Linked DNA regions of Callithrix jacchus. The protein of the gene in region 6 interacts with the protein of the main gene of each other region in a pairwise test. Links are inferred from orthologs where the notes say so. Each region holds a gene or a part of one and is shown on either strand. Other genes may lie near its edges.

Evidence for each region.
Region 1: the proteins of LONRF1 (region 6) and TRIM42 interact in binary tests that used the Homo sapiens proteins (3 or more experiments, as listed by UniProt). The two-hybrid records come from large-scale screens. The link is inferred for Callithrix jacchus from reciprocal best matches to the Homo sapiens genes LONRF1 and TRIM42.
Region 2: the proteins of LONRF1 (region 6) and KCTD9 interact in binary tests that used the Homo sapiens proteins (3 or more experiments, as listed by UniProt). The two-hybrid records come from large-scale screens. The link is inferred for Callithrix jacchus from reciprocal best matches to the Homo sapiens genes LONRF1 and KCTD9.
Region 3: the proteins of LONRF1 (region 6) and NTAQ1 interact in binary tests that used the Homo sapiens proteins (3 or more experiments, as listed by UniProt). The two-hybrid records come from large-scale screens. The link is inferred for Callithrix jacchus from reciprocal best matches to the Homo sapiens genes LONRF1 and NTAQ1.
Region 4: the proteins of LONRF1 (region 6) and ADAMTSL4 interact in binary tests that used the Homo sapiens proteins (3 or more experiments, as listed by UniProt). The two-hybrid records come from large-scale screens. The link is inferred for Callithrix jacchus from reciprocal best matches to the Homo sapiens genes LONRF1 and ADAMTSL4.
Region 5: the proteins of LONRF1 (region 6) and KRTAP13-1 interact in a two-hybrid assay, tested with the Homo sapiens proteins (2 studies listed by BioGRID). The two-hybrid records come from large-scale screens. The link is inferred for Callithrix jacchus from reciprocal best matches to the Homo sapiens genes LONRF1 and KRTAP13-1.
Region 7: the proteins of LONRF1 (region 6) and BYSL interact in binary tests that used the Homo sapiens proteins (3 or more experiments, as listed by UniProt). The two-hybrid records come from large-scale screens. The link is inferred for Callithrix jacchus from reciprocal best matches to the Homo sapiens genes LONRF1 and BYSL.

Annotation. Positions count from the first base shown.
Region 1 is NC_133518.1:43,744,948-43,749,165, reverse strand, and holds the start of TRIM42 (tripartite motif-containing protein 42), read left to right. Parts: upstream 1-1,418; 5' UTR 1,419-1,584; coding exon 1,585-1,925; intron 1,926-4,218.
Region 2 is NC_133514.1:16,082,236-16,085,735, forward strand, and holds part of KCTD9 (BTB/POZ domain-containing protein KCTD9), read left to right. Parts: intron 1-432; coding exon 433-538; intron 539-1,244; coding exon 1,245-1,378; intron 1,379-3,500. UniProt on the Homo sapiens protein: Substrate-specific adapter of a BCR (BTB-CUL3-RBX1) E3 ubiquitin-protein ligase complex, which mediates the ubiquitination of target proteins, leading to their degradation by the proteasome.
Region 3 is NC_133517.1:73,988,315-73,992,589, reverse strand, and holds the start of NTAQ1 (protein N-terminal glutamine amidohydrolase), read left to right. Parts: upstream 1-1,475; 5' UTR 1,476-1,583; coding exon 1,584-1,666; intron 1,667-4,275. UniProt on the Homo sapiens protein: Mediates the side-chain deamidation of N-terminal glutamine residues to glutamate, an important step in N-end rule pathway of protein degradation.
Region 4 is NC_133519.1:10,461,713-10,465,212, forward strand, and holds part of ADAMTSL4 (ADAMTS-like protein 4), read left to right. Parts: coding exon 1-55; intron 56-332; coding exon 333-688; intron 689-857; coding exon 858-1,533; intron 1,534-1,777; coding exon 1,778-1,880; intron 1,881-2,444; exon of another isoform or gene 2,445-3,154; coding exon 3,155-3,291; exon of another isoform or gene 3,292-3,500. UniProt on the Homo sapiens protein: Positive regulation of apoptosis. May facilitate FBN1 microfibril biogenesis.
Region 5 is NC_133522.1:36,448,920-36,451,558, forward strand, and holds KRTAP13-1 (keratin-associated protein 13-1), read left to right. Parts: upstream 1-1,274; 5' UTR 1,275-1,325; coding exon 1,326-1,844; 3' UTR 1,845-2,139; downstream 2,140-2,639. UniProt on the Homo sapiens protein: In the hair cortex, hair keratin intermediate filaments are embedded in an interfilamentous matrix, consisting of hair keratin-associated proteins (KRTAP), which are essential for the formation of a rigid and resistant hair shaft through their extensive disulfide bond cross-linking with abundant cysteine residues of hair keratins.
Region 6 is NC_133514.1:29,000,471-29,004,541, forward strand, and holds the start of LONRF1 (LON peptidase N-terminal domain and RING finger protein 1), read left to right. Parts: upstream 1-1,271; 5' UTR 1,272-1,336; coding exon 1,337-2,057; intron 2,058-4,071.
Region 7 is NC_133505.1:50,424,008-50,428,049, reverse strand, and holds the start of BYSL (bystin), read right to left. Parts: upstream 2,801-4,042; 5' UTR 2,741-2,800; coding exon 2,473-2,740; intron 1-2,472. UniProt on the Homo sapiens protein: Required for processing of 20S pre-rRNA precursor and biogenesis of 40S ribosomal subunits. May be required for trophinin-dependent regulation of cell adhesion during implantation of human embryos.

The DNA.
Region 1 (4,218 bases), on a different chromosome or scaffold from region 6:
CTAAGGGCTGGGGGAAGGCAGGAACAGAGAGAGGCTGCTTATGAGTGTTTTTTGGGGGTGAAGAAAATATTTTGGAACTAGATAATCGTGATAGTTGCACAATTTTATGAATATACTGAAAACCATTTACTTTAAAATGGTGAACTGAATGGTAAGTGAATTACATATTAGTAAGTTTTTAACAAGACCTTACAGAAACCAATAGTAAAAATGTATCATAAATCTGGGAGTGAAACTCCAACCTATGTGCCTGGAGGATGGGGAGAAATATTAATGAAACAGTTTTGGCAAACATGGAGGGAAAAGGTGTTTCACTTTTTTGAACATCTTACATTACTTGCTGGTATTAACTGGCACATTTATTTAAGAAATTTGGCAGTTTGTATCAAAAAAAGATCAAGCACATATTCTGTGATCCAGGATTTTCACTGTTGGAACTCTAATATCAATGTGTGGCTGGCATAGTTGGCACTCAGTGATGTTCTTTCCTATTATAGAGGTGATAACCATAAGGAGAGATAATAAATTATGCACTTAATTCCTGCAGCCAAATTCAGCTCTTCTGCTTTTTACAAAAATAAGAAAATGTTCACACTATAACGTACTATGACCATGAAATTTCTGTTCCTTTAATCTTCGCAAGCTGCATAAATTGGAAAGTGAAATTTTTCTGTAAAATATAGGGTCTTGTTTCTAAGGATCCTGAGCATATACTAGCAGAACAGTGAAAGATTTCATGTAGAGTTCCAGTCTCTTTTTAAAAGGCATGTAGTGGGGTGGGAATAGGGTGGGGGAAAAGTGAGCAAGCTTGAGCCTCACCCAAACACCATGAAGCTACAAAAAGCCAAGAAATATTCAGATTGGCTTATGTATAAAGCTTCATGAAAATGAGCAGTGACTATGCATTGATTGATAAAATCAATTACTACTGAAAGAAGTCCCTAAAGTGAATCTATGTGTTTTTTAACTCTCTCCTAATGGTGATATCTCTTTAAATATCGCATTGCTATTATCTGGGGGATATATAATTCCTTTGTTCAAATAGAATTCTATCAGTTCCTCTAACATGAAGAAAACCATGTTATTCTACTTTGTACCCAAGCCTTTCAGTCTATGAAGACATAATATGAAGTCAACTTGCCCAAATTGCAGGCAGAACACCAAACAAGGAGAAACAGCTTCCGAAATCTCCATTTTCCAAAAGCTGACAAATGACAACTGAACTTCCGGAAGGCTCACTGCATCACCACTCCTCTACAGCTGGTTCCATGGAAGCATGGAGAGCCCATCAACATACCTGCTACACCCACAAGGCCGCATCCTCCTACCCACCCAGCATGGTAGAGAGAGAGGGATTGTGACATAAGCAAATACCCTCAGGCTGATATATGTAAATGCCAGCCTATGAGCTTCCTGGTAGGGACACCAACAGTGAACGCCTCATAACAGCCAACTTCTTGCAACTCCCAAGCTGACGGCCTCACAAGGGGGAGGAGAGACTCCTCTACTGGAGAACTGATAGCAGTATTCTGGTAGAGGGGGCATCAAAAATCCTAGCGGGGCAGTGTTAATCATGTAGGCACCATGGAAACTGCTATGTGTGTTTGCTGTCCATGTTGTACATGGCAGCGATGTTGTCCTCGGTTATGCTCCTGTCTATGCTGCAAGTTCATCTTTACCTCAGAGCGGAACTGCACCTGCTTCCCCTGCCCTTACAAAGATGAGCAGAACTGCCAGTTCTGCCACTGTACCTGTGCTGAGAACCCCAACTGCCATTGGTGTTGCTGTTCTTGGGCCAATGATCCCAACTGTAAGTGCTGCTGCACAGCCAGCAGCAACGTCAAGTGCTACTACTATGAGAGCCGCTGCTGCCGTAATATCACCGTGACTTTCCACAAGGGCCGCCTCAAGAGCATCCATACCTTGTAAGTGCCAGGCACCAGATGTGCAGCCACATTGGCTCAGGAAAACTAGGGACCCCTTGCTAGCTGTGAAGTCCACAGGGCAGGCCAGTGCCCCTCTGTGTTTATTTATCTAAAAAAAAGGAGCCAAGAATTTTGTAGCAATTAACTGTATCATATATGGTCACTATGTATGTAGACCATGAGCTCCAATCTAAGCATCATCGACTAGAGCACTTCACTCTTCTGAACCCTCTCTCATCTGTACAAAATAGTAATAGCTAATACTTGGTGTTTACACAATTTTCCAGGCATTTCATGCATAACCCAAAGTCCACTGTTCTCATGAGGAAACTGAGCATTTGAGAAGTTTCCTTCTCAAAGGAAACTTTGAGAAGAAGTTGCCCCAGGATGACACAGCTGGAAAGATTCAGAGTCAGAATTGGAACCTAAAATTTGTGATCTTAACTCTAGAATGCTGTATTGCAAAACAGAGACAAGACCCCCCCACCCCCATGATATTGTAGATATAAGAATTAATGTATATTCTTTATAATCTGCATGTTATAGAAAAATAAAAAGTGCTCATTTTCTTCCTATTAACTCTAAATACCTGCAACATTTATTGGAAAAGTAAGACCTTCTATGGGGCACTTTTGACCCTGAGAGCCATTTAAGTACCCCAGACATCCAGGAACTCCAACTGCCTTCTCTTTTTCTCATCCAGAAGTCACGGAACTTGGGGTCTCAATTATTCATTTGGAGTACTAATCCTCCATATCAGGTCTTACATTATCCTCACCTGCTCTGCCAAACAAGCCTTTTTATGTCACACATGAGGGGAGTCTGAAGTACTAAGAGCACACTTCTTAGAAAAGATGACAGCACTATAAGATGACAGGATTAGAAGAAGCAGAAAAATGGCAGGCCAGTTTGAAAGCTTTCAAGCCTGGAAAAGCAATTCTGCAAGCAGAAGTTTAGTGAACTTAGGGGAAAGATATTATCCATCTTGCCATTAAATCTTTAGTAGCTCCTTAACACCCATAACTCTCCACCTATGGCCCTCTCATAGTATCTGCATAAATAGGAAATCCAGGGATTCTCAGTCCAAGTCTAGAAATACTAAAGTGTGGGAAATAGTGTCCACATTCCTCTCTCAACTACCTAATTCTCTGTGCAACAGCAACTGAGCCTCTGAGCCCATTTCAACAGGAAAAAGATAAAATTGGTCTTTAGGAAAATGCCTCAGGCATCAGTTGCTCCCTAACGTTATTGTGCATTGAAGTCACTTGGGGATCTTTAAAAATTACTGATGCCCGATATCCACCCCAGAAACATTCTGATTGTATTGGTCTGGGGTACCACCTGAGCATCTGAATTAATGAGCATCGCCCCTTCAGGTGATTCTAATGTGCAGAATGGCCTGCAGGTGCAAAGGTGGGAAGCCAGGAGATTTGACAGGTGATACAGTAAGAATCCAGGTGCAAGAACAGGCCTGATTTTGGGAGAGAGGGGAGGCTGTGCAGAGGAGCAGAGGCAGGCTATCTCAGCAAGAAGATAAAGCACTGGTCTTGATGCTGCTTTGGAATGGAACCATGGCCACTGAATGCCCTGACCAAGCCTGAGGTTTGTGGAGGATGCGCAGGGATGCTAACGCATGTGTCAGGAGGTTGGCTCTGGGTGCTTGTCTTCAATCTGGCCTCTCTTCTGGCTTCTGACTCTTGGCCTCCTCTGCTTCTCATCACCACTTTCTGCTCAGCACCTTGCTTGTTCTGCCTCACTCTGGTCTCATTCATCCCTCTCTACCTTACTCTTTTTCACCTCTACCACAGCTCCCTAGGCCATTAATACCTGTCTCTTAGCCCTGAGCCCTCTTTCTCGTCCTCCAACATCTCCCTCCCTACTTCTTATTTATGAAAATTCTAGCTCATGAGCTTCCTAGTAGGAGTACCACCTGTGAAGGACTCACAACAGCCTCTTTATATTATACCTTGATTCTCAAGGCCTTTTTTTTTTTTAGCAAACTAAAGACCTGTACCTCCAGGTGATCCCTTCGGGACACAAGCAGGAGTCTGGGAAAGCAGAGAGGAAACAGAACTGAGAACATTGAGGCCAGCATGCCTAGAGCTCCCAGATCCCTAAAGGACAAATTTTTCAGGTGCCTTAGTCTACACAGGGAGCATTCTCTGTCGCCACATGGCCACTCCATTCCAATATGCTTGGGAAGTATCTGTGACTGTGGACTCAGACATAGGTCCCTGGCCAAGGGAGGGGGGAAGAAGAGAGGGACACATAAGGAATGCAAGACAACAAAAGC
Region 2 (3,500 bases), about 13 Mb from region 6:
GAATTTCACTTAGAACATCAAGATTCCTACAGTAATAAGAGAAAATTCACATCCCTAACAAGTTTATGCCTTCCTTACTCATACATTTTGACTGTTTCATTGACATGCATAGGAGTGTTTATAAAAATAGAGATAGAGATGTCATAGTTCTGACTCTCCCAACTTTTTTATCTAAACCATTATGTTTCATGTAAAATGAACATGCTGTTGTTAATTTGCATTTGCTTTTTAAAAAACAGTTGTTTAAAAATTTTTTTTTAATGTTTCCAGTTCTTACTGGGTTTAATTAGAAAAGCCTTTATTGTAAACAAAATAATTATGAGTGTATTGAGTCGAGCCCTTTCCCTTTTTCTATTTTTTTCTTTTACTGTTTGAGCTAATTTGAACAAAATTATGAACCTCATAACCAGGACTTTTCTTTTTTCTTTGCAGTGTGCAAATCTCCAGGGAGTCAAAATGCTCTGTTCTAATGCAGAAGGAGCATCCCTGAAACTGTGTAATTTTGAGGATCCTTCTGGTCTTAAAGCCAATTTAGAAGGTGAGATCCTATCTGTAAATAGCTATTTATGGAGAAAGCAGACCATAAAGGAAAAAGCCCTGGAAAGTAATTGTTATGGGTGAAACAGGATAGCAATAGGGGATATGTTTCTTCTGTCATCATATTTGGAGAACTTCCAAAGAAGTAGATACCTTCTTTTTTTCTCAATCAAATGCTAATCTAAACTGAGGACTTAGAAGAAATAAAGCCTCGAAAATTAAGATTTTAGTTGGAAAATTAAATATCAACATCTTAAACTTTCAAATGTAATATAATGTTCTTATACTGGCCAAAAGGAAAAATTTCTTATGCATAAAGCCAGGGAGTTTTAAAAAATCGTTTTTAGATTTAATATATTGTTTCTTAGTTTGTTATTGTTTTGTTATATCTGTGACTGACCACTTTGTTTACTTGTATGTTTTAGGAGACTACTTAACTCCCTCATCATAAACCTGTAGAGGCACAGTATGAAAGTGTTAACTATCATAAAACAGAACGAAGTTTCTTCCTTTAAAAGTACTGATGAAAGCATTCTTTCATCAGTGAACTCTTTATATATATGTTTGTTGAGAGACAAGATTTTAGATTCATTTCCAAAAGTTAAAGGAGGCTGTCATTATTCACCCCATTAAGTCATCTTGCAGTTTTATTGAAGTGGATAACTATATTTTTAAGTTAAGCTACTCCCAGAATGTGTTCACTGTAGGTGCTAATCTGAAAGGTGTGGATATGGAAGGAAGTCAGATGACAGGAATTAACCTGAGAGTGGCTACCTTAAAAAATGCAAAATTGAAGAACTGTAACCTCAGAGGAGCAACACTGGCAGGAACTGATTTAGAGGTGAGTTCACCAACATTTTAAGAGTTTTTATTACTCTAGACTTAATAAGTATTTCATGCAAAATTTATTGAAATCAAAACAAAGTAGTTGGCTGGTAAAACTGCCAGGTAACATGCCAACACAACTGGAGGGATATTTTCCTTTGATTTGTGTGTTTACACAAATAAGAATTCCAGAGCAAGATTCACTTACCTAAGTCATAGATGCCACTTGTGGATTGGAAGACTCACCTGACATTCAGTCTAAGTTGATTTAATTTCTCTCCTTTTCCTGAGTTTTTCTTAAGTAAATAAGTTTGATAGATGCATTATTAATCTAATATATTGCATTTTCCATAAAAAATAATTCTGAACAGAATTAAATGGGCTAGATTACTTCTTAAACTACCTAAGAAATTTAAATGATACCCAGGTTTGAAATCAGGTCCAGGAAAAGTCTATTTAACATTGGAGCCGTATGTTTTTTGGTTTTCAGCTTGAGACTATAATTTTGCCAACTCATCTTTTTCATAAGAATTGTATTTGTATGTCTTCTTAATCTCTCAGTTTAGCTACCAGACTTGATAGCTGTTGATAGGTCTACACCAGCACCATCCAGTAGCACTTAGTGCAGGAGGGACACGTTCTATATCTGTGCTGTTCAGTATAGTAGCTACTAGCCATAGATAGCTGTTGAGCACTTGAGATGTGGCTAGTGTAGATGAGAAATTTATTTTTAAATTTTATTTAATTGTAATTCATTTAAATTTAAGTAGCCACATGTGGCTGGTAGCTATGAAATCCGGCATAAATTGCATTGCAGAGAACAGGGTTTCAAATTTTAGCTTGCTGTTAATTTTTTTTCTTAATGCTTTTGCCTAGATCTCTTGATAGCTCTCAGTAGCAGAGGAGCAGGCCTCTTTCAACTTGAAGGCAAAAAGAATTGACCCAAGATTATAATCCTATCACAAGCACAATTATTTATTGTTTGTTACATTACTTCCATCTAAGATTATATTTTTTTTCCTAGGTTTTAGTTACTGTGTAGTCAGTGTGGCTTAGCAGCAAAAACCTCCCTCTGTCTGATTGCAAAGACTGATAAGACTGACTATTGAGGGGAGAGCTGCTGATATCTGTTCTCCTAACAGGTTATGTTTAGTCACCCTTCTCTCTAACCATTCTCCCCCTATCATATCCAGGGACTTAACTAGAATCTCTATCTTATCTATCAGTCTGTGATCTCAAGAGAAATTAAGAGCTGGGCACAGTGGCTCACGCCTGTAATCCCAGCACTTTAGGAGGCGGGCAGATCACCTGAGGTTGGGAGTTCGAGACCAGCCTGACCAACATGGTGAAACCCCCGTCTCTACTAAAAATACAAAAATTTATCGGGGCCTGGTGGCACATGCCTGTAATCCCATCTACTCTGCAGGCTGAGGCAGGAGAATCTATTGAACCTGGAAGGAGGAGGTTTCATTGAACCGAGGTAGCACCATTGCACTCCATCCTGGCAACAAGAGCAAAATTCCATCTCAAAAAGAAATTAAAAAACAGCTTCAAACTGTGGTAGTTACACTACTCTGTACATCTACCAAAACTCATTGTATTATATGGGGCTTTAAAAAGAAGGGTAGTTCCTTGCTATGAAAATACTAGGTCTAGGGAATGGAAAAATCTGTTATGCAATTTGATTAAGTAAAATCCCATCTCATGCCTTTGTTGTTGCTGTTGTTGTTCTTGGATCACAGTAAAATTATTTCGATAATCTTTATTACCTTGGGGCCGGGTGCAGTGGCTCACACCTGTAGTCTCAGCACTTTGGGAGGCCAAGGAGGGCAGATCACTTGAGGTCAGGAGTGTGAGACCAGCCTGTCCAGCATGGTGAAATTTTGTCTCTACTAAAAATACAAAATATTAGTCAGGCGTGGTGGCGAGCACCTGTAATCCCAGCTTACTCAGGAGGCTGAGGCAGGAAAATTGCTTGTCCTGAGAGGTGGAGGCTGCAGTGAGCCAAGATTGTGCCACTGCATACCAGCCTGGGCAACAAGAATGAAACTCCTCTAAAAAAAGAAATTGTGTGTGTGTGTGTGTGTGTGTGTGTGTTACTATGTTAGAATCCATTCTGTATTTTTTTTTTTTTTTTG
Region 3 (4,275 bases), on a different chromosome or scaffold from region 6:
CTGTGTAGTTTGGTTTGTTTTTGCTTTTTAAATTGTATTTTTGTTTTATAGGTCCTTTGTGATTTATGCTTTAAAGGGGTTCTGTTTAGATGTGTTTCCAGGACTTTTTTTTCAAGATTTAGAGCTTCTTTTAGCAGTTCTTGTAGTGGTGGCTTGGTAGTGGCAAATTATCTCAGCATTTGTCTGGAAAAGACTGTATCTTTCCATCATATATGATGCTTAGTTTTGCTGGATACAAAATTCTTGGCTAATTATTTTGTTTGAAGAGACTAAAGATAGGGCCCCAATCCCTTCTAGCTTGCAGGGTTTCCCACTCATTTTAAAGGAGAAACGTTTACCAGAGTTGTTATTTAGCATAGAGGCTATGTGGAAGTTTGTATTAAGAGCTGAGAGGCAATAAAATTGGTAACTGACAGGAACTATGCTCGGTCTTTAGGATTTATCAGCTTTGAGACTCCTGAGACTGGAGAATCCGACTGTGGATAGCTAAAATCAATGTAACATCTCAGTTTTTATAATGAGAAGTGTACCCCCATTAGCTATCTATGCTCATTGCAAATATGAACAATTCAGAAGACTAAAGTGTAAAGTGAAAGTCCTTGAAACTTAAAGTCCCTGATATTAATACCATTCATTCACCAGAGATAAACACTATTTTAACAATATGATGTCTTTTCTTCCAGACTGCCAGTAATTGAACAAATATATGATTAACACATAAAGGATACCATATGAACTCTTTAAACTTCTAAAATTTACTGTATCAGGGAATTAATATACCTTTTCGAGCCAGTAGATATAGGTCTTCCAATTAAAAAAATTAAGTTACAATAGAGTGAGATTTGGGGTGCTATCCTTTTCGGAAAGCGTCCTCGATGAGGTCATATTTGGAATTACCCTTCACGCCCCACGTCTTCTCTGGGCTCCCGCGGACTCCAGGCTGAGTGCTGAATTGTGGATTTTCATACCCAAACCTCTGTTATTTCAGTATCTCACCTGGTTCCTCCACAGCGCAGAAGCGCATCCCAGGTTGGAAGAGCCTCTCCGGGGAGACTCAGCGAAGCGCTATTCAGGGCCCAACTCAAGCCCAAGCCTAGCTCCTCCTCAGGTCGTCGCCAGAGACCCCACTTCTCCCGAACCTCACCGGTACCCCGCCCCTGACTCCGCCCACCACAACACGCGGCCCCGCCCCTCCCCACCCCAGGCTCCACCCACCATCCGGGCTCCGCCTACCCGGAACCACGATGTCGTCCTTGTTCGGGGCTCCGTCCACTGGGAGCTCGCGCCACTCACCCCACCCCCGACCCGCCCATTTAGCTCGGGCTCCACCCTCCCAGGAACCTGCGCCGCTCGCCCCGAGCTCCGCCCACTTCGTCCCGGGATTCCCGCGCCGGGAACTCAGGCTGCTGGCCACGCCCCACCGCGCTCCTGGCCCCGCCACCCAGAAACTGCCCCGGCTGCCCCGCGCTCCGCTCATCCCGCCCTGGGTGCGCGTGCGGGCCGCTGCACGCCAGCCCCTTCCTTTGCTACGTCAGGTCCAGTCGGTCTTCCTGCGGCTGGGGCCCTGGCTGAGCTAGCCGGCCATGGAGGGTAATGGCCCCGCTGCCGCCCAGTACCAGCCGGCCAGCCCCCCGCGGGACGCCTGTGTCTACAGCAGCTGCTACTGGTGAGGAGACGCGGGCGCAGCCTCCGGGTTTCCCCGGCTCCTGGGCCGCGAGTCGCAACCGTGGCTTTCCTCTTCCCGGCCCCTTCTCGCGGGCGCTCCAGGCCTCGACCGGCGGGTTCTACAGTTTCTGCGGGAGGAGGGAGCAGGAATGGCAGCTCTCGTCTCTTGAGTAGAGCGTGGGCTATTGGATGGGGTTGGGAATTCTCCGGAATCATAGGGTCGTTAGTGCATTTCCTGTGCTTGGTGCTTGTGGGTTGGATTTGCTCTGCAGATCTCTGCTTGGGGGCAAGGCAGGGGTGGAGCTCTGAAAACCTTTGGAAGTTACTCTGCTGAAGCTTGTGGGGTTTAGGACTTAGGTGAAGGCTATTTTAATTTTGGAAGAGAATGGAGGCACAGAGAGTTTGGTGTAACTTGCCAAGGTCACCCAGCTAATAACCCTGAATCCAGTTCAGGCTCCCTGACGTCAGAAACCATGATCTTAACCGTGTTGTCATTATAATAATGGTTACATTTACACAGCGCTTGCTTTAGGCCACGCATTATTCTGGGTAGTTTGGGTAACATAAATCACTGAGCATCACAGTCACCCTAAGAGGTAGGTATTGTTATCCTCATTTTAAAAGATGAGAGCACTGAAGCACAGAGGGCTACAAGTAATTTGCGCAGGGCCACGTAGCTTGTGAATGAAGGAGTGGGAATTTACAGGCAGAGTCTGGCCCTGGAGTCCACGCATTGCATTTCTGTCCTAGGCCACCTCTGCAGCTGAAGCACCACCCCTGCCTTGGTACTTTTTGATTCCGATACCTGCTCTTGCCTGAGTAATGGCTTCTTCCCCAGCTTCCAGTCCTTGCACAGGAAACCTCAGGGCTCTCTAAAATTACTCCTCCCCTTTCTGCTGGTCACTAAACCAATGCCACCAAGAGCTTAGCATTTGTTTGGCCCTGATTGCATGTCAGGCTCAGTGCCAGGTGCTTCCATCGATGTGCAGGAGGTAAATTCTTTTATTATCATTATCTTCATTTTACTAATAAAAAGCCTGAGTCACAGAGAGGCTGTTGTGTGCCCCCAGATCATACATCTAGCAAGTGGTGGTGCTGAAACTGGAACCTCTTTGTGATTCTGAAGTTCATGTGTCTTAACTGTTGCACTGTTTTTCTGCCCTGCCTCTCTTCTAAATCCTTTTAGTTCTCCTCCCTAATGTCCATTCATTGTTTTATTCGTTCTTTCAATAAATGTTTGTTAGGCAGTTGGTAATATGTGGTACACTTCTGGGCACTGGGACTATAGCAGTGAACAAAATCGACAAATTCCCTCATGAAGTTCTTGTTATATTTTGATGAGAGAAAAGCAGACAAGGCCAGGTGTGGTTGCTTAGGCTTGTAATCCCAGCACTTTGGGAGGCAGAGGTGGGTGGATCACTTGAGGCCAGGAGTTTGAGACCAGCCTGGCCAACAAGCAAAAACCCTGCCTCTACTAAAAATACAAAAATTAGCTGGGCAGGGTGGTGGGTGCTGGTAATCCCAGCTACTTGGGAGGCTGAGGCAGGAGAATTGCTTGAATCCAGGAGGTGGAGGTTCCAGTGAGCCAGTGCCACTGCCTTCTATCCAGGGCAGCAGAGTGAGACTCCATCTCGAAACTAAACAAAAAACGACAAAAATGAGTAAGCAATGCTTGGGTGGTGGTAAGTGCTGTGAGAAAAATAAGATAAAGCATGGTGACTTATTTTCTATTACGATATTTTGAGAAGACATTGTTATCAGGTGATAACTTGAACAGAGATCTGAAGAAAGAGGGTGAGAGCTTTGCAACTTTTGAAGAATGGTTATTTAAGCAGGGAGGATAGCAGGTACAAAGGCTCTGAGAAGGAATCCTGCTGTGAGTATGATAGGAACAGCTCAGAGGCTGGTACAATTGGAGTACTGAAGTAAAGCAGTCTTGTAGAAGAATGGTAAGAGATGACCACTCTACCACAGGGTTTCTCAGCCTTGGCTCTAGTGACATTTTGAGCATGAAAATTCTTTGCTGTGGGGGCTGTCCTGTGTATTGCAGGATGTGTAGCAACATCCCTGGCCCCTACCCACTAGATGCTGTTACCACCCCAGCCCTAGATGTGACAACTGAAGATGTCTCCAGACATTGCTAAGTGTCCTGTAGGGGTTGGGGGGCAAAATCACCTCTTGCTGAGAACCAGTTCTCTACCCTGTCTGAACACATCAGGTAGGACACCACACTACTTCCTGCAGCTGTGTGTGTGTGTTTTAAGACAGTCTCAGTCTATCACCCATGCTGCAGTGCAGTGGCGCAACCTTGGCTCACTGCAACCTCCGCCTCTCCAGCTCAAGCCATTTTTCTGCCTTAGCCTCCCCAGTAGCTGGGACTACAGGTGCCCACCACCACGCCCAGATAATTTTTGTATTTTTAGTAGAGACGGGGTTCCACCACGTTGGCTGGGCTGGTCTTGAACTCCCAATCTCAGGTGATCCACCCATCCAAAGTGCTGGGTTTACAGGTGTGAGCCACGGTGCCCGGCCATCCTGCAGGTTTTTTAACTTGAAATGAATGCCTCCTGTTTACTTCTGGGTCAGTAGTGCCTTTCCTGTGCTTGGTGA
Region 4 (3,500 bases), on a different chromosome or scaffold from region 6:
CCGGCTGTGTCTGCTTCTGCTTCTGTCCCTGCCTCAGCTCTGCCTGGATCAGGAGGTGAGCTCAGCCTGCCACCCTTTCGTCTCCCCCAGGCTCCCACCCAACCTCCCCAGGCCACGCCTCCATTGCCCACAGCTCACCTGCCTCCCCTGCCAACTCCCCACCTCCTTGCCTCCTGACACCAAGAGGCCGAATTCTCATCCTCCCTCTGCTACCGAATGTGACCTTGGACTGGTAGTGACTCCACGAGTCTCAGCCTTTCTCTAGTTGAAGGACAGATCAGGACAGTTCCCTCTAATCCTTCCATTTCTGTCTGACCGTTTTCTCTGCATAGATGTTGTCCGGACACTTGCTTCAGACACCCACAGAGGAGGGCCAGGGCCCCGAAGGTGTCTGGGGACCTTGGGTCCAGTGGGCAACTTGCTCCCAGCCCTGCGGGGTAGGGGTGCAGCGCCGGACCAGGACCTGTCAGCTCCCTACATCGCAGCTCCGCAGAAGCCTGCCCCTCCCTCCCCGGCCCCCAAGACATCCAGAAGCCCTCCTTCCCCGGGGACAGGGTCCCAGACCCCAGGCTTCTCCAGAAACCCTCCCCTTGTACAGGCCACAGTCTCGGGGAAGGGGTGGCCCACTTCGAGGTCCCGCTTCCCGCCTAGGGAGAGAAGAGACCCAGGAGCTTCGAGGGGCCAGGAGGTGAGGCTTGGGTGGAAGAGGTGGGCCTTGGGCAAGGTGGGTTTGTGACATGAAGGAAAGGGGGGCACAGATTGCTTCCGAGGGCGTGTCTTTGGTGCCAGGAAGTGAAGTGGGGACAAGGGTCAGAGGTGGTCAGAGCTGTGCCCCCACATCTGAAACACCTTCTCAGGTCCCGGCTTCGAGACCCCATCAAGCCAGGAATGTTCGGTTATGGGAGAGTGCCCTTTGCATTGCCACTGCACCGGGACCGCAGGCATCCCCGCAGGCCGCCCAGATCTGAGCTGAACCTGGTCTCTTCTAGAGGGGAAGAGCCTCTTCCATCCCCGACTCCAAGAGCAGCAGCATTCTCCTCAAATGGCAGCTCCCGGACTGAGCTCCCTCTCCCATCCCCCCCAGCAGAACCTCTAAGCCCTGAAACTGCTGAGACAGAAGAGCCCCCCGGAACCAGGCCTGCCCTGCCACGGCACCACCCCAGAGCCCAGGCCTCTGGCACAGAGCTGCCCTCACCCACCCACTCCTTAGGAGAAAGTAGCTTTTTCCATGCATCCCCTCAGCCCCAAAGGCCAAGTTCCCAGGGTTGGGCTGGTCCCCAGGTAGCAGGGAGACGCCCTAATCCTTTCCCTTCAGTCCCTCGGAGCCGAGGCCAGCAGGGCCAAGGGCCTTGGAGAACAGCGGGGACTCCTCACGGGCCTCACCTGGAGCCTGACCCCCAGCACTGGGACGGCTGGCTGCCCCTGCTGACCAATGGCCCCCAAGCCAGCTCCCTCTGGAGCCTCTTCGCTCCCAGTAGCCCTATCCCAAGATGTTCTGGTGAGAGTGAGCAGCTGAGAGCCTGCAGCCAAGCGGTGAGCCTCCCTGGACCTCCTCTCCCACCTCAGCCTCCAGTGTGGGCCTCCCCACCCTGAAGCTGGGTCCTCAGCTTGTCTGCTGGGCACCTGAGGGAGAAGGGCCTTGGCGTCTGACCACATCAGGGTAGGGGCCTTGGAGCTCTTCCACTGGCCTGAGCCTCCTGGCTGCTCCCCAGGGTCAGCCCTGACCCTACTCCCATTTTGCTCCCCAGCTCTGACTCCTTTGTACCCCCCACCGCAGCCCTGCCCCCCTGAGCAGCCAGACCCCCGGGCCCTGCAGTGCGCGGCCTTTGACTCCCAGGAATTCATGGGCCAGCTGTACCAGTGGGAGCCCTTCACTGAAGGTGAGGTTTCTTGCCCACCCTGGGCAGTGGTGGCTTGGAATTAGGGATGAGGGGAGAGGAGACCCCTGCTTACTCCCAGCCGGGAATGACTTCCAGCCCCTCTGCTTCCCCTGAGGGCTGTGCCTTCTTCTTCTCGCTGGGGCTGGGTCAGGAGACAGAACAGGTGGCGAATGGTCTGCAGAGGGGTTGGGCTGGGAGGAAGAGGTGTGGGAGGCACACTTTGACTCCTCTGGGAAAGTCATCACCGGAAGTCGGGTGGCTGTGACGCAGGAGGGCCATGGTGGGAGAGATCCCGCCAGCCGTGATAGCCAGGTGGGGGTGTGCTGCGCATCCTGGGCGCTATCGTATCAGTTGCTCCTGGGTTACCATCCATCATCCATCTCATTTTTGGTCTATGTTCTTTTTTCTTTTTTTTGAGACCATGTCTCCCTCTGTTGCCCAGGCTGGAGTGCAGCGGTGCGATCTTGGCTCACTGTAACCACAGCCTCCTAGGTTCAAGGGATTCTTCTGCCTCAGCCTCCTGAGTAGCTGGGCCTACAGGTGTGTGCCACCACGCCCAGCTAATTTTTGTATTTTTTTTTTTTTGAGACGGAGTTTTGCTGTTGTTGCCCAGACTGGAGTGCAATGGCACGATCTCGGCTCACCGCAACCTCCGCCTTCTGAGTTCAAGCAATTCTCCTGCCTCAGCCTGCTGAGTAGCTGGGACTACAGGCGCACACCACCATGCCCAGCTAATTTTTGTATTTTAGTAGAGAGAGGGTTTCACCTTGTTGACCAGGATGGTCTCGATCTCTTGACCTTGTGATCCACCCAAAGTGATCCTCGGCCTCCCAAAGTGCTGGGATTATAGGTGTGAGCCACTGCGCCCAGCCTAATTTTTGTATTTTTTTTTTTGGTAGAGACAGGCTTCACCATATTACCCAGGCTGGGCTTGAACTCCTGACTTTGTGACCCACTCGGCTCAGCCTCCCAAAGTGCTGTGATGACAGGTGTGAGCCACGGCACCTGGCAGGCCTGTGTTAATTGGCACCAAGACAAGCGCTCATGAGCTCTGAACACACAGAATCATGGGCGTCAGGGATGCTTCTCTCCGTTCAGAGCCCCCTTGATGGTCTCGGTGGCCTCGACTGACCTGACCACCTTCTCAGTTTGTGCAGTTGCCACATTCCCTCCATCCACGGTGACCTGGGCAACCTCAGGGTGTCCCCCAGAGCCTCTCTCAACTAACCTCCCACGAGGGAGCCTACTAACCACCTTTCTACCCTGTCCCTTAGTCCAGGGCTCCCAGCGCTGTGAACTGAACTGCCGGCCCCGTGGCTTCCGCTTCTATGTTCGTCACACCGAAAAGGTCCAGGATGGGACCCTGTGTCAGCCTGGGGCCCCTGACATCTGTGTGGCCGGCCGCTGTCTGGTGAGGGAAGACAGAATGTGTGTGCCTGCACACAGACACACACACGCATATGCACACAGACACACACATGCATATGCACACAGACACATGCATATGCGCAGACACATACACATGCATATGCACAGACATGCACACATGCATATGCACATAGACACAGATACACCCACATATGCACACACAGATACACATGCATATACACAGACATGCAC
Region 5 (2,639 bases), on a different chromosome or scaffold from region 6:
ATTAAAAAGTAATTCAAGTAGTTTTGATATACTATTTCTAAAACACACTGAATTTTACTTCCATTTGTTCTGCAGAAAATCATGTTGAAAAAATCATTGTCCTATGTGGAGATGATCCAAGAGGATGCAGCCAAAAAATATAGGAAAAGGTTATAGATGATGATGATAATGGTATATTATTGTCTTGATTTTGTGATGTCTTGAGTTTTGTTAACTTTGGAAGTGTTTATTCTATATTAATATCTGTGTTTATATCTATTATTATATTCATAATATGGTATTTTTAATGAGGATCCCCAAATTATATTTTTCCACACCCACACAACCTAAATCCATCTCTTTAAAGAGGGCTGGGACAGAGTCACGTCCCACAAGAAGAGGGAAAAACATAAAAGCTGGTGGCATTATTCTGGAAATACTCAGAAAGCATTCAGAATACTGAGGTGGGGGTTTTGAGGTGTTATAAGCATGCAGGCTCCAGGACACTTACAAATATGAATGCATCATACAAAAGCTATTAAATACGTCTATTTGAAAGCATTTTGATTTGCTTTCAGGATGGACTACCCATCAGTTAGCTGGAACCCTGGCAGTCCTGATCATCCTTCTGCTACTGTGCTTTATTTCCTACCTTATCTTAGCAGTGAGGTGAGGTTTGCTTTTTCCACATTTGTCCATATTGATGTTTTTCATTTTTTTTGGCTTTTGTTTTGATTTCTTTTTTCTAAACACTAATTTTTTTTTCTAAACGTGTTCAAGATGATATCTGGTTTTAGTTATCTCTCAATCCCTCTGGATTACTTTTACATAGTCCTTGAGACAGCAATGATAAACATTGCTTATAGTAAATAATAGACGGCAAACTATTTTGGAGAGTGTGAACCAATAAAATTTCTGCTGCTAGGCCACTGACAAAAAATATGAGTACATTGCCATCCCCATCCAAGACAGAAAGAATTTCCCAGCCAAAACAGGAGCAAGTGTGTAAATCATGGCCAGAGAAAATAAGAGGGGTCTTCCTGGCCATAATGGAGTGGACATTAATCACATACAGTCATAGCATTTGTAACATAAATGTATTTCATTGACGCAGAGCTGTAAAAACAAAATGAGTTCTTCCATAAATATAAGATGAAGCGTGTTAACTGCAATTACAAAGATTACTAAGTTACTTATATGCAAATGTGGGAGCTCAAACACGTGAAGGATGACCCTGTCAGGTGCCACACCCACAGTTGAAAGTATATAAATGGTCCCTTCCAGGAGTGGCATCCAAACTCAGATCTTCTCAGTGTAACTCAGCTGAACTCACATCTCCCGTCAACATGTCCTACAACTGCTGCTCTGGAAACTTCTCCTCCCGCTCCTGTGGGGGCTACATGCGCTACCCAGGCTCCTCCTGTGGCTCTTCCTACCCCAGCAACCTGGTCTACAGCACTGACCTCTGCTCTCCCAGCACCTGCCAGCTGGGTTCCTCTCTCTACGGGGGCTGTCAGGAGCCCTGCTGCGAGCCCACCAGCTACCAGACATCCTGTGTGGAGTCCAGCCCCTGCCAGACCTCCTGCTACCGCCCGAGAACCTCTGTGCTCTTCAATCCCTGCCAGACGACTTACTCTGGGCCTCTAGGCTTTGGCTCCAGCAGCTGCCGCCCCCTGGGCTATGGATCTAGGAGCTGCTACTCAGTGGGCTGCGGATCCAGTGGCTTCAGATCCCTGGGTTATGGAGGCTGCGGCTTCCCTTCCCTGGGCTATGGATCTGGATTCTGCCGCCCAACCTACTTGGCTTCTAGGAGCTGCCAGTCTTCTTGTTACAGACCAACTTGTGGATCAGGCTTCTATTATTGATCATCTTGTTAAACTGCTAATTTTATTGGCCGATGCCATTAATGTCTCTACTCATAACCTTTATTGTCTTCATCTTGTACAGAAAGAATTAGCCTCTTATTCTCTAATTATCAAGTTCTCAATTTGTCTTTGGCCCCAGATACTGACTGGCAGGCTTCATCTGAAAACCTGTGTACTAACCCAAAATAATCTTGAAGTACACATTAAAGTTAGAATTTATATTATTTTATTTTTTCCACAATTGTGGAAAAAGTCAAATCATTTTAACGAAATAAATCTACTGGTCTGATATTCAGCTATGTTTGTGGTGGTTTTTTATTGCCAAGTTTTGGTTGTGACATATTTAGGGGATTATTATGAAACAACTGGTATATATATAGGAATAGGTTTGAAAACCATATGAAGTTTGGGATTCAAACAAACTTTTGGGGGTTCAGAGATTTTTGTTACTCAGACTACAGGTAGTAGATGTCTACTAAATACACAGGCTTTTGTTCATTAAAATCTCAGACTCGGGAATTAGCTTGGTTCCCTTATGAAATGTTGATTCTTGTGACAAGGCCAATAAGAATAAGGTAGAAAACTAGCTGACAGTTATATCAGGAATCTTCAGGGAACAAAAATAAAACTTAGATCTATATGGTTATAGACATACATACAAGCAAAATTGAATTGAAGACAAATCAAAATGATTTCAAGTAACTTTTTTAAAGTCACCCAGTATTTGTTGGCAATCACGATCAAATGTCTGTATCTTATTGATGAGAATTCAATATGATCCAATTATCTACACAT
Region 6 (4,071 bases):
TTTTGCTAATTTCAGATATAGCATGTTCAGATGAACTCTCCAATTAGCAACTTCCTTTACTTTGAAAACCTCATTTTCTATGAAATATTACATATGAATTATTACATATGATTAGTCTAACGTAGTTAATAGTGGAATAGACGTGATCTTAAAATCTATTAGATTCTGTGATTTTGAACAATTAACTTTGTTTCCAAAGATTTGAAAAAGGACTAAAAATTCTAAGTGACTCCCCTAATTCTAATATCCTATAATCAAATCTACAAATATTTTCAGCGGAGAGCTTTAAATTTGCTGCTGTGAAGTTTAAGGAAAACAGAACCCATTTTATATCAACCCTATCATTTTCTTCTGTCGGCAAAGCTGCAGACCCTGCTTTGGTTGTAGTAATATGGTGACCGCCATGTGAAAAACATTTTTCTTGATGTTTTCTTTTACGAATGCCAAATATAGACTTTAGCCAGCTGTAGGGCAGTTCTCGAGGTGTGGGGACACCTAAGGAAACTGGGGGCTTTCTCCCTCGAGGTGCGTCGGGGATGAGCTTTAAGCAGGGCTGGAGGCAGTCAACCGGGCACCAGGAAACACACCTTACCCTCTGGAGGAAGTCGCCCCAGGAACGTGGGTTTTTTGTTCAAGTTTAAAGTTGAGGCCTCTAGACCCGAAGAGTCCGAGTCATCGGGCTACGGTGCCCTCCTAGACCCCCTGCTTAGGCGCGCCCACCTGGAACCCAGGCACAGACGAATGAAAATGTAGACCCGCACCTGACAAGCACTAGGCCACGCCAGGAGAATCCCGCCCGCCAAGAGTTGGGGCAGGTCCCGCCTGGGCGGGCGCCTCGGGAGAGGGGTGGAGACCCGAAGTCCCCCGCGGCAGGGGAGTGCCCTCCAACCAGGCAGGGGCTCGGGCCACCGCAGACCGGGGACGTCGGCGGCCAGGCGAGCGGGGTCTAAGGCTCCCTGCTTCTTCGGGCTTTGTTCCGTCACGAGCCGAGTCCTCCATTCCGGAAAAGCCGATAGCTCTCCGCCGGGAGATTCATCCGATCTGCGTCTCTCGCTGGGAGCGGGCTCGGAAGGGGCGGGGCCCAGCGCTCGGCTCCTTGGTAGCGCGGCCGCGGGCGGCGTGAGGGAGTCCCGGGTGCAGTCGCCAAGCGGGCCCCGCCCTCGCCAGGCCCCGCCCCCGGGGCTTCCCGGGCGCGCGCCGCCCCGCCGTGTCCGCGCGCCACGCCCCCCTGCTCGCGGGCCGCGTGCGGAGCCGCGCGCCCGGGAGGCTCCGGGACCGTGGCGGCGGGCGGCGGCGGCGGCGGCGGTGGCGGCGGCGGAGCAGCCCTCCGCGGGCCATGTCCTCTCCGGCGGTGGCGAGGAGCTCCCCGGAAGGGAGTCGGGAGATGGCCCCAGCGCCGCAGGGCCGAGGCCGGTTCTGGGAAGTGGGCGGCGGCAGCGGCCACCGGCTGGAGCGCGCGGTCGCGGAGTCGGATCGCTGGGAGCTGCTGCTCCGCCGCGGGGAGCTCCTGGCGCTGGGCGGCCACCTGAAGGGCGCGCTGGAGGCGTTCGCGGCTGCGCTGCGCCGCGGGGCCCCGGCCAGGCCTGAGTGCCTGGGTGTCCTGGTGGACTGCCTGGTGTTCAACTACCGGCTCCGCCACGGGCTGAGCTGGAGCGCGGCCCCGACTGCGGGTGCGGACGGCGGCGCCGGCGGGCTCCTCAGCTGCCTGGGCTGCCGGGGCTTCCTGAGCGAGCCGGTGACGGTGCCCTGTGGCCACAGCTACTGCCGCCGCTGCTTGCGGAGGGAGTTCCGCGCTCGCTGCCGCCTCTGCCGGGACCGGCTACCGCCCGCCACCGCCAGTGCCACCGATGCTGAAGGGACTGCCCCGCGGCCGCCGCCTCTGGCCGCCGCCATCGCCGCCTCCGACTTCAGAACCAGCGTCGTCCTCAACCACCTGGCCGAGAAGTGGTTCCCAGGCCAGCGCGAGCGGGCCCGGGCAGCCGGCCGGCTCGGGGAGTTGCTGCACCAGGGGCGCTACCGGGAGGCCCTGGCCGCCGCCTGCGAGGCGCTGCGAGCAGGTGACCGCGCGGGGATGCGGCGGGGCCCGGCCGACCGCACCCTTCTGGCCCCTAGGGCCCGGGACCCGGAGCTCGTCTGCACCCCGGGAGGCTCCTCTGCTTCCCCGAGGCCGCTGGGCCACAGGAGTGTCGGGTCTTGGGGTGCTGGGGGGTGTGGGAGGGGGCGGCGCCCCGGGGTGCTTCGGTCACAATGGGGATCGCCCTGGAAGCCGACTGTGACGCGGCGCGGGGAGGGGCGCTCAGCGCGGGGTTCCCTCGACCGCGGCCTGGCTGTCGGGCGCGCGCGCCGGGCGCGGAGTGGGTGACCGGGACCGAGGCCGCCCCAGCGCGGGATGGGTGGGAGCTGGGCGAGCCCCAGCGTCCGCTCGCTTCCTGCCGCGCGCTTTCCGGGAACTGACTCTCGGGCTGGGCCCGCGGCGGGGAAATTACTGCCAGGGCAGGGAGAGAATCCTCCGCGAGGGGAACGAGGCCGGTCAGGCGGCGTCTCCCTTCCCCACCCACAGAAGTCACCGGGAAAATTGGGAGCCGCGGGAGGGCAGAATTGCGTAAGCTGGGGGCGGGGGGCGTTGTGTAACGAGTGACGTCCGGTGGGCGTGGCGGGAGCTCCGCGCGGGCAACCAGCACGGGTAGGACCCGCAGGCCGCCGAGCTTGGGACTTCGGGTGGACCTGCCCTGGGTGGTCCCTTGCTACCTGGAAATTTCTGGACTGGCTCCTCTTGAAAGTTTCAGCTGGCCTGTTTCAGAGCATACTTATTTCCTATCTACTTTCCAGTGCACCTAGTGTATGGTAAAGATGAGGGGGGTTCCCAGATCCGGAGTTCTTTGCCACGCTTCTCTAGGCCTTTCCACTCATGATCAAGCTGTGAGGAAAGGCCTTGTAGGTCTTGAGTGCATTTCTCAGTCTCCAAGAAGCAGCCTCGGCCTCCTAACCTAGGTTAGCACTTTCCTTCCTAAGGTGGTTTTAGGTGCCAAAAGGGGGCAGTGTCAGGTTTCTCTTACATAAAAGAGTTGTTCTTTAAATCGGTAGTTCTCTACCAGGGGGATTTTATCTCCCCTCTCTCAGGGGACATTATCTAGAGCAGCATCTGGAGACATTTTTGGTTGCACCTCTTGTGGGGCTGGTGCTAGTCCCAACAACTAGTGGGAGAGGTGCGGGAAGCTGCTCAGATATCCTAGAGGCTATCAGGCCCCTTGTTTTAAGCGTATTTCAAGATTACAGTGTCTGTCCATTGGCGTGAAATGATAGTTGGGGGAATGATCCCCAAGAAAATAGACATGTAAAATAGCAACTGACTTTGGGTATTACAGGTAAATGTATAGCCTATGTAACTGAAAGGATCATCTTTCGGGTTATCTTTTGCCCCACGTGCTTAGTCATATTGAACTAATGTCAAGATCTTGAGTTTTACCATTAGAGTTCGCAGCACAAATCTCGGAGATTTTTGTATTCTTTCAGCGCCTTTGTGAGGAATAGGCAATTATAGAATGATGGGCTCAAAACAAAAGAAAAGTATGTGGAACACAGAATTCTGATACAGATGACTCTGCCTCTGAGTTAATAAAGAGAAGAGAAACTGGACTCCGCTGTACAGACCACCTAGTCGCTGACCATGGTGTGATTTTTGAAGGGGGGAAGCAGAAGCCAGGCAGTGAAGACTTGTACACCGTCATACAGTTAACTGGTTGAGAGGCAGCACTGAATCTTCTTCCACTTCTCCTAAACGTTGGTTTAGGGTTCATCTTGCCTATAGCTCATCCAATGAAAATGTTTAGTATACCTTTCCAAGGAAGTTTCTTTGGTCACTGAGGCTGAAACTTATGGACAGTACTATTCAATACTACTCACTACTGATTCAGTGATTTGACCTTAAATTGGGTGTTTCACAAGAATCCAGGTCCTCATCCATGGAAGAACAGTGAGCACATTTGCTAATAGAGTTCTAGCTTAACATTCTGTGACCAGTAATATTTTAGTTAACAGAGATTCTGGTTCTTGAATCGAGGATATTATATT
Region 7 (4,042 bases), on a different chromosome or scaffold from region 6:
AAGAGAAACTAAAAAACTTTGTTCTTATACAGCTTACATTCTAACTGGAGGAGACAGTCTATGACCATACCACCCTGAACGCACTGATCTCATCTAATTGGAAGAGACAGACATAAATAAATGTATAAATATATTGGGTTAAAAGATAACTATTATGGGCAAGGCGCGATGGCTCATGCCTGTAATCCTAGCACTTTGGGAGGCCAAGGTGGCTGGATCACCTGAGGTCAGTAGTTTGAGACCAGGCTGGCCAACACGGCAAAACCCTATCTCTACTAAAAATACAAAAAAAGAAAAAAAATTTGCTGGGTGTGGTGTTGGGTGCCTGTAATCCCAGATACTTGGGAGGCAGAGGCAGGAGAATTGCTTGAACCTGGGAGGTGGAGGTTGCAGTGAGCCAAGATCTTGCCATTGAATTCCAGCCTGGGCAACTGAGTGAGACTCTGTCTCAAAACAAAACAAAACACAATGATGCCTATATAGATCGAGTGGAATGGGCAAAGGAGAAAGCAGTAGAAGAGGTCAGACTGGCAAGGAGGCAGATGGTATAGGGATTGTAGACCCCCGTACCCCAGCTGTTGAGTGTTCTGAAGAGTACGAGATACAGCAGGGCATGGTAGTTCACACCTGTAATCCCAGCGCTTTGGGAGGCCAAGGCAGGGAGGATCGCCTGAGTTTGAGACCAACCTGGGCAACACTATGGGACCTCATCTCTACAGATAATTAAAGCATTAGCGGCTAGGCGTGGTGGCTTATGCCTGTAATCCCAACACTTTGGGAGGCTGAAGTGGGCAGATCACCTGAGGTCAGGAGTTCAAGACCAGTCTGGCCAACATGGTAAAACCCCATCTCTACTAAAAATACAAAAATTAGCTGGACGGGGTGGCTCACACCTGTAACCTCAACTACTCAGGAGGCTGAGGCAGGAGAATTGCTTGAATCTGGGTGGCAGAGGTTGCAGGGAGCCGAGATCACACCACTCCAGCCTACGTGACAGAGTGACTGTCTAAAAAAAAAGAATTAGGTGGATACATGGTGGCATACACCTGTGGTCCCAGCTCTATGTGGGAGGCTCGGGTGGGAAGATAGCCGGAGCCCAGGAGATTGAGGCTGCGGTGAGCTAAGATTGTGCCACTGCACTCTACCCTGGGAGACAGAGCGAGAGACTCTGTCTAAAAATAAAATAAAAAGGAAAGGAAAGAAAAGAAAAAAAGGAGAATATGAGATACTATCTAGGAGGCTACTGTGATAATCCAGGTGAGTCTGTGATAATCTAATGTGAGAGACTGGTGGCTTGAACAGGATGGTGTTCCAAAGTGGTGAAAAGTGGTCTGATTTTGGATATAACTTGATGGCAGAGTTATCAGAATTTCCTTACAGATCAGATGTGGGGAGGGAGGGAGAGAGAGGAGTCATGTTTATCTTTAGCAAATGAAAGAATATCATGCTACTCACTGAGACAGTGGTGAGAGAAGCAGGTTTGGAGAGAAGGTCAGGATTGGTTTTGTACATGTTAAATTTGAGCTGTTTCAAATTGGAGGTGCCAAATAGGCAGTTGAATATAAGAATCTGGATTTCATGAAAGAGATCAGGGCTAAAATATAAAGTTAGGAGTAGTCACCCAAGAGATGGTATTGAAACCATGAAACCTGACAGCACTAGAGAATATCTGAAGAGAAGAGGTCAGAGGACTGAGGATAAGAGGTTGCAAGTAAGAGTCAGCCAACGATATTGAGAAGTGAGGTGGCAGTGAAACAGCAGTGTTGATGTCTTATAACCCAAGTAAGGATACTGTGGGCAGGAGGCCACTATTCAATTGTGTCAAATATTGCTTTAGATGAGATCTGAGAAGTGGATGAAGCACCTCAGAGGTAAGCACTCCCTCCCTAGTAAGAACCTATCAAACGTCAATTCATTTCTCTCCCTTTTTGTCTGCGAAACGTGTTTTCTGCTCATTACACTTCCCATTCGTTTTTCAGTTCTCAGCTTAAAGGTCCTACAATCGGAGAAGCTTCTCAAGACCAATGCTACTGTCACCAGGGAAACGATATTTTATCATGGAAATATATTATTCTAAGAGTCTACGTAATTGTCTCTCCGCTGGGCTTGACTGTAAGGTCCTTAAATCAGACGTGTCTGTATGTTGTTACTTCTGTACTCAAATATTCGATTGAACTTCGAGCATAGCGCAAAGCTCGTAGTAGGTTTTCCATAAATATTTACAAAACCAATGGATAAATGCTAAGAACACTTAGTGGCGCGAGCGATTACTTCCTATTGGCCTAACTTCGGGGGTGCCTAGAAGGGAGTGCCTAAAACTAGGAGTGGGCGCGGAGGTCTCTGGCCATTGCTTAGTCTCCCATTCCATTACTTTTGCAAGTCCCCTGCCGGACACTTTTTAGCTGTCCTCCCCCCCGCCCCCGGCCCCGCTGCTAGCCATTGTCTTGTTCGGACCTCATCCCAGACACTCACCCAGCCGCGTGGTGCGTTCCTGCGGCGCCGCGGGCTTGTCCCCAGTCCCATGCTCGGCCTCGAGCTCCTCCTGTTGCTGCCGTGCTTGCTGCAAAATCCGTCGGCTCAGCCGAGGCCCCACATACTCTTCCTCCTCTTCTCCGGTGCCACGACCCCGCCGCTTCTCCCGGACCCCTGCCCGCAACGCATTCCCAGCTAGGATCTGCTCAGCCAGGGGCGCATGTTTTTCCTGACCCCCGGCCCCACGGGTGGCCTTGAACTTGGGCATTTTTCTTGAAAATACTGCCGGGAAGGTTCGCACGTGGGGACGACGAAAAGGCCAGAATACACTTGGGTGAACTCCCACCTCCCAAGAGGCCACGCTGCGATCACAGCGCCCTCTAGCTATCGGAGGCCAGAAGCGCTATCAGCACCGCCCCTCCCACTAAAAGAGCTCCTGGGTTCCGGAGCTGGACTCCCAAATACATTTACTTCCTTTAACGTTGGCGTCTCTCAATAGTGCAGTCTAAGTCTCGTTCTTCTAGCTTCATGGATCTAAGCCTAGAGTGCTCAGCCAACCGGGAATTTCCGGAGCTAGAAACATGAGAGCGGGAATCCACTGATTATGTCACTGGAGGCGTCACCGACGGGTGCCAAGACACGCCCCATTCCTTGGGGAAGGCGTGGACCCGGCGCTCTGTTTTTACGTATTTCCGGAATCCCTTCTGCGACCGAAGCCTGTGTTGGGGAACTGAAGCAGTTCCTGTGGGCGGACTGGGAACGACGCATTTCTACTGTGTGATCCTGCCACCTTCCTGTCCCGACACCATGGGAGTGACTTGGTAGGACTGCAGGGGTTTTGTGGGGCGGGATTTGGAGTTGTGAAGGGCCGGGAAGAGGTCCTTGACCATGGCCCGCCGTCCTCTGGGAGCTGAGCGAAATGTCCTCGGGTTATCTGGATAAGAGGATACCGTGCGGGCCGCGGGTTCCCTGGGCCTTTTTCCTCGGAGATGCGCTCTTACCTCTTGGAAGGCGGCAGAGCAAAGGTTTTATACCAGGGACCTATCAATGGTTATGTACCTTCTTCCCTTATGGGTACATCTTCCTTCCCGTGAGGCCATAGTACTGTCTGCACTTGGACCTCAAGGTTGGAAATAGGGACTTTGGATTAGGACCTACCTGCAGACAGGGTTGGAGGGAGTAGGTTAAAAGCGATCAGGAGACAGTATTTTTTTTTTTTTTTTTTGAGATTTTCGCCTACCCTTGTCTCAGCCATCAAATGCAGTTAGACCAGCTGGTGTCTGTTTGTAATTTGCCCATTTTAAGATCTTGGGTCTAGAGGAAAAAAGAGGCTATTGATAAGAAGGAGATCGTGGTTCCAGGCACTCTTTAGGACCTGCTTCTCACTATGTTTAATTCCATGGTTGGTCTAGTTTCAATGGAGTTTTTATCTTTCATATGTTTTAAGTCTCAGTTGGAAGATGAGGTGGCAGGGAAAGGTACAACGCTCGCGGAGGCATTAGTTGTAAGGTACTAGGTCCCAGACATTTTTTTTTCTTATCGCAGGAGGTGTGAGCATCTTTCCTGTGGG